Linked DNA regions of Ovis aries. The protein of the gene in region 2 purifies or fractionates together with the protein of the main gene of each other region. This does not show direct contact. Links are inferred from orthologs where the notes say so. Each region holds a gene or a part of one and is shown on either strand. Other genes may lie near its edges. The genes, in order: CUL5 and SPSB4.

Evidence for each region.
Region 1: the proteins of SPSB4 (region 2) and CUL5 purify together in Homo sapiens (co-immunoprecipitation; 4 studies listed by BioGRID and IntAct, counting the BioPlex papers as one, with this or other methods). This does not show direct contact. The link is inferred for Ovis aries from reciprocal best matches to the Homo sapiens genes SPSB4 and CUL5.

The regions. Positions count from the first base shown.
Region 1 is NC_056068.1:17,395,532-17,398,354, reverse strand, and holds part of CUL5 (cullin-5), read right to left. Parts: intron 1,733-2,823; coding exon 1,538-1,732; 3' UTR 1-1,537. UniProt on the Homo sapiens protein: Core component of multiple cullin-5-RING E3 ubiquitin-protein ligase complexes (ECS complexes, also named CRL5 complexes), which mediate the ubiquitination and subsequent proteasomal degradation of target proteins.
Region 2 is NC_056054.1:248,507,950-248,511,868, forward strand, and holds the start of SPSB4 (SPRY domain-containing SOCS box protein 4), read right to left. Parts: upstream 2,146-3,919; 5' UTR 1,524-2,145; intron 1-1,523. UniProt on the Homo sapiens protein: Substrate recognition component of a SCF-like ECS (Elongin BC-CUL2/5-SOCS-box protein) E3 ubiquitin-protein ligase complex which mediates the ubiquitination and subsequent proteasomal degradation of target proteins.

The DNA.
Region 1 (2,823 bases), on a different chromosome or scaffold from region 2:
CTGTTAAAAGCACTCTGCAATAATAATACTGTATGCTGTTCAACACTGGCACTTCATTTTCTACTATCATCAAAATCATTTAAAATATTACTTAATGTCAAATAAAATATAATTTGCAAGAAAAGTTTTGAAATGGGCACCACAATGAATAAAATCCATGTTGAGCCATTCTTTCCCAGTGGGGAATAAGTTTTCCTTTTTTAAGTTGTTCATGTCTTCAAGTCCTAAAATCTCCATTACTCTGGGTATTCAGTTGCCAGCAACTAAAAAGTTGCTACTTTGGATTGACTGAAAGAAAGAAGTTTAAGTGTTGGTTCTGAACATTATTTAAATGCTTACTTTCAAAATATATAAATATATATATATACATATTATTTGGCAAGTTTATTGTTCATATTAAGATTGCAACAATTCTGCTTATGCTTTTCAGGTCTATGTTGTGGTTTTTCTTTACCTCGTAGGTGACTGATAATTATTACTTTTTAAAACAGAATATCTTCCTTTCCAGAAACCTGAGGCTACAAATCCCTAATAATGAGACTTTAAAACTTCAAAGTATTTCTATGCTACAGATTAAGAGGTCAGTTATATAATTGTATTATATTAAAGCAGGAGATTTCTGCCTTATTTTTTAATGAATTTGAGTGTAGCATAATAAATATTAGGTATATAATATTAAGTGTCTTAGTAAACACTTAATATGCGAGTTTTGCTATTTTTGACTCTGAAGTTGAAATGATCTATCTCCATACATTTTTTTAAACAACTAAAATAATAATATGAGCTTCACTTTTTCAAAACAAACTCTCTGGCCATATAAGATTAGAAAAAAAAAAAAAAAACCACTCCATTTAACAATGAACAACTAAAACAGTAGTCTCCTGCTTAACGAAAGCCAACATTTCTTAGTTGGAAAAATTTACTATCACTTTGAAGTCCCCACTAAAATCCAGTTGTTATACTGAAGCAGTGTTTGAACATATGATAATACTAAATACTTATCTGTTCATCTATATCTGCCCTGTCCCAATGTTGTGTAGACCAGCTCACTCTTTTGATCAAAAGAAATCAAGAGTGCTATTTCTAGTTTTAATTGAATTTAAAAACAAAAACAAAACATAACAGCATTTTTCAGTGCACAAACATCTGAAGATCCTTCCTTGTGCAAATACATTTTTCTAAGACAGGAGAAAAAAAAGGAAAAAAAAGGCAACAAGAACCCCACTTTCACCCTCCCAACTGTTATTTCTTCTGGTGGGTATAAACCAGGATTTTAAAAGCTCATAATGGGCTCTTTGTGAATGCAAGTTTCTCACAAAACAGCATGCTGTTAAAACAGAGTGGTGCAACATGAAAGGAATGCCACCATGCTAACTAATGTGATTGGCAAAATATAGTTGTTTTGTTAGGTAAGGCAGAGATTTTAATATTTATGTAATCGAAGTCCAACTAAACCTTCCCCTAGCACAAACTGTAAGAACTTTCTGCCGAAGCACTCCAAAATTTGGGTTCTTAATATTGTCCATGATATTCAAAATTACGCCATATATATGAAAGTGTTGATATCAGATTCATCTCTTCTGATGTATTTGTGCTCTATTAGCCATTCTATTTGCTCTTTAATCATTTTCTTTTGTGGCAGGAACATGTTTTTCAAAATTTCTACTAATTCAGTCTGCAGCTGAGCATTACTAATTTTCTTTCTCATCTTCATTATTTGTATGATAGCTTCCTAAAAGAAAAAATAAAAATAAAGTATTAAATTATTTTAAGTAAAACAAAACGAAAAATGACTTTTAATGTTTTTTATCCTCTATCCAACATCTATCCAAATGATTAGCAATCACTGGATTAACCTTGAGACCTGTAACAAACAAAAGTATCTTCTTTTCACTGTGGAAAACAAAATCTGCATATTATGGATATTCTGAAAAATAAAGAAAAGCAAAATTACTCATATCCCTTTTTACATACTTTTCCCCTTGTATTTACAGTTATTTCTTTGCATAGTAGTAGCAGTCAGTTGCTTTAGTTGCTCTGTTTTAAAAATTAACAATCACTACTCTTTATATACTTATCAGATTAATGAGCTGTACTTATTATCAAGTACCTTCAGTTTATAATGACTCGACTAAATGGTTCAACTTTCTGGAGGAGTAAGCACTTTTCATTTAAGTCAATTTTATTAATAATTTCCTTGATGATTTAATTACTATTAATCTATATAATATAGATAATTAGAAAATTACTAAATATTTTCTCTTTTGTCTTTTCCAGTACAAGGTCTCTTCTTAGTCAACAAAAGGCATTCATCTGCCTTACTGGAGATTAAAATTCATTATAAAAGAAGTTTAAAACAGAAATGTGTTAATATTTGCTTTTAAACACTAAAAAACAGAGATTTGCTACAAGGCAATAGGCTTGGGAGTCAGGCAGTATTCAGTATGAGAAAAGTATACCATCAACTTCCTCTGCACAGACATGAGAATTCCTACACTGCCACGAGCAGGTCAGAAGAATTACTCCTAACAGTATGTCCAAATCCACACTCTGGATCACAGGGTTTATGTCAAGGGTTCAGGGAGAAAGAAGGAAGAGGGAAAAAGTCTGTCTTCCTTCAGGCACTTGTACTTTACAGAAACCAGTAAGGCGGAAAGAACAATTGTAAATATTCTAATTTCTCTTATTCTAGCTTTGGTAGAGGTGAAAATGATGGCTGTGTTAGAGCTGTTAAGAGAAAAACAGAGATCACAAGAGTTCTGGCCCTGGTCTCATTTAATATGTTGGAGGTCACTTGAAAAGTGGCATGATATGATGGAAATA
Region 2 (3,919 bases):
AGTTGTGGAGGATGAAGAAGGATCCCCCATCAGTCTCAGTGACAGAGACTGCAGAATTGGGTTGGAGGAGACGGGCATCAAGGGGGAAAGAGAGGGAGAGGCGGGAGAGATGTATTGCACAGGCGCTTCTTCCTTAGGTGCAACGACCGCCTGGAGGGGGGAGGGGCGGGCAGCTCCCGTATTCTCCTTTTAACAGCGTTTCCCCCAAGCTCAGGCACGTCTTCCTGATTTATGCTCATCGATTGCTGGAGGACGGAAGGTGGATGGAGGATGGAGGCTCTGATTCCTAGAGAGGAGAGAACTCCTTCAACCCCTAAACTCCCCCAGGAGGAGGCTGGAGCAGAGGAGGAAACTAAGCTGGGAAAGATTCGAGTACTTGTCCAAGGTCACACTGCGGGCTGATGGTGGAGGCGGAATTCGAACTCAAGCCTTATTCCAGAGCGCTCTCCATCTCCTAGCGCTACGGCCCACAAGTGCCCTCCTCTCTCTGCCAGTCCGGAAAAGCCCATGCTCCTCCATCCCGGAGGCGGGAGTGGTCACTCCCCACCCCACTCTCCCCTCAAGCCCTCTTCTCCCTCCAGGAAGAGGTCCTGGGCTCGGCGTCCCCTCCTGGCTCCGAGCCCGTGGCGCGTCTTGCGCTACCAGGGCGGACACATTTGCCGCGCTCCAGGCTCTGGCCTCCTCCCTTCTTCCCAGACCCCACCCCCCTCCCCTGCCCGTGACTCACTCTGCACGCGACCCCCTCCCTTCCAAAGCATCGCCAAGTTTGTCTTCAAGCAAGGCCAGGAACTGGCCCCAAGCAGCGCTCGGACTGGGCGACCAGCCTCACTATCCAGCGTCAAGAGTAAACAGTAACAACAGCCCCCATTTCAGCACCCACTGCGTGCCAGGCGCTTCACTTCCAGGCGCTGAACTGCCCCCGCCCCCCAACCCCTACGAACAGACTCCTGGAAATTACTGTCCCCAATACATCGACGAAAGAACTGCTGCAGCTCCGGAAAGTTGGATGACACGCTTGGGATCACACAGCTAATAATAATGCTGGCTAACGTTTGATCGAGTGGTTCTTATGTGTCAGGAACAGGTCTACGTACATTACGAGGACCACCCCATAGATGCTTCTAAGAGCCCTATTAAAAGGGTACCATTATCACCCCCATTCTACGGATGAAGAAATCAAGGTTCGGCGCCTTGTCCAAGGTCACTCATTCAGTGAATGACAGATCATGGACCTAAACCCAGGCAGGGTGACTCGGGCGGGGGCGGGGGGGTAGTTTTTTGTGCTGTCTCCATTACGCAGAAAAGCAGCGGGCTTCGAACCGATGACACCAGGGGCCAGCCCCAAACGCCCAAAGGCAAACCAGCCAGCTCGGATTGCCACAGTCCGCAGAGAGGAATTCCCGGGGATCTGGACCGGACGCACGCCAGGAGCGCGGACTGTGGCCAGTGCCGGCCCGCACGAGGTCCGCTCGGCCAGACCTCGGCTCCCGCGCGCCTCTCACCAGAAGATGGAGAATACTCACCATAAAAGAGAGGGCAAGCGCCTGCCCTGGAGGAATCGCCAGCGCTGGCAGGTCCTGGACTCCGAGGAGAGACGTCTGCGGCCGCTGCCACCCGCTCAGGGGCGCCCGAGCGACCCCGAAGATGCCGGCTTGTTCCCCGGGGCCAGGGGCGCGTCCTCACGGCTAGAGCCCCGCAGCAGCGCCCCCTCTGCCCAGCAGGGTGGCCCAGAGTTGGAGCGTTCTTGGGGAAGTTGGCGCTCCAGCGCGGCGAGAGGGCGCAGGAGGTCGGGTGGGAGAGGGGAAGCGTCTTTCTGCGCGGATCCCGGGGGCGCGCCAAGGCCTGCGCTCCAGCGGTTCCTAAGCTCCGCGCTGGACCTGGAGGGCGGCGAGCCCCGAGCTCAAGGCGCACGGGCCGCGCCTCTGCCGCCCGCCCCTGGAGCGCCCGGCGTCTTCCCCCTCGCCCTGGGCGCACGCATTGGTGTTCGAAACTGGGGCCCGGGTCTGGGCTACGGTGCGCTCATCGCCCTCCCCAAGGGGCTGGGCGTCTTTGTGCACGGGGCGCGCCGGCCGCCGCGGCCAGCTCTGGATGCTGCAGCCGCCGCCGCCTCCCCCTCCTCCTCCGCCGCCGCCCGCTCCCCGCCTTCCCGGCCGGCCCAGAGGCTGCAGCTGAAAGCCGATCCGGCTGAGCTCATCCCTGAAGGCCACTAATCCAATAGCCGCGGAAGGCGCGGCCGCCGGGAACGCCCCTTCCCCCACCATCCCGCGCCCCGGCCCGTCCCAGCTCGGGCCGCTGCCGGCGCCGCCACCTTTCCGAGGCCACCAGCTGGCGGGAGAGGGAAGTGGAGCCCGCGGCCGCGTGCCGAGTCGGCGCGGTCGCCATTCACTCGCCCGCTAGCCCGCGCACTCCCTCACTCACGCACTCATTCATGCGCTCCCCCCCCCACCCCCATTCATTCAAGCGCGCTGGGAGCGCCAGGGTGGGTGCCCCTGAGCCGGAGGAGATACACACAGTCATTCGACAGCTTTGCTGTCTTTACCCAACTCGTGTGGGAAATAGCGCCGGGGAAAGAGCTTGGTTTAATGACCTCTTCCTCAGGAGCGTGTCTACACTTTATTTTTTAAAGATCAGATTCCAGCTCATCTTCTAAAGTCCAATTTCATACCTCTCCTGCTTCTCGGAGCCTTCCCCCGACCACTCGAGGAGCAAAGAGGTGTTTTTAGTCTGCCTGCTGCCAGGACTGGAGGTGGGCCGCCCGATTGCCCGTCTCGAGCGGAGGAAGAGGGAGTGGCCAGAGCGGAGGCCAAGAGGGTGCTTGTAGCATCTGTGCTCTCTCTGGAAAATTGACAGTTACTGGTCTGGGTGCCTTTTGTGCTCCCAGAGGTGAGCTTAGTTCATTCCACAGTGATCTGGTCTGACCTCAGCCCTCTCTATGCCGGATACTAAACGGCCTACGGGCAGAGCGCCGGTTCATCTGGGACACAGACAAGTAAAAGGTAACTCAACCTAGGGAAACAGATGGCAGCTTTGTCTGGGAAGGGCAATCTGGAAATGCTTCCTAATAGAGGTGGCTACATGAATTAGCCATGGAGACAGAAGGACAGGGTGGTCATCTGTCTAGGTACCTATCACAGCATGGAGCCTCCGGTATATACGGGAGTGTAAGGCGGCTTCCCTGGTGGCTCAGAGGGTAAAGCATCTGCCTGCGACGCGGAACACCCGGGTTCGATTCCTGGGTCGGGAAGATCCCCTGGAGAAGGAAATGGCAATCCACTTCGGCACTCTTGCCAGGAAAATCCCATGGATGGAAGAGCCTGATAGGCTACAGTCCATGGGGTCACAAAGAGTCGGACACGACTGAGTGACTTCACTTTCACTTTCAAACGATGAGGTAAGATGTGGCTGGAGGGATGGACAGTGGCTAGGTTCTTGGAAGTCAACTAGAGTTTGATCGTTCCTCAAGATTAGTTGAGGCCTTTAATCAAAGTAATGCTTATCATATTTACATTGTCCAAAGATCTCTAAGCGGAGTGAATGGATGGAGGCAAGCAAGCTTGGAACTCCTGATACAGTCCAAGCAAAAGAGGATGCTTCACAAACCAGTTTAGCCATTGGTCGGACAGCCGAAGGGGGTATTGATCAAGTATTTATTTGCACTTATCCTACTGTTCTGTCATTGCCTGTTTGTACGTGTCTCCCTCCTAAAGCTGTGAACCCCTTCAAAGGGCAAGAATGCTTTTTATACGTGTCTGAATTCTCTATACCCACCTAGAACAGATGTTGAATAAATGTACTTTGAATTGACCTGAGTGGCATTCTGACCTGCACTCACATTTACTATATTTGGGGGGTCTCCACAGCAGTCCTTTCTATTCCCCATCAGGAAACTCCTGGAGCACCTACTCTGCAAGCTACTGAG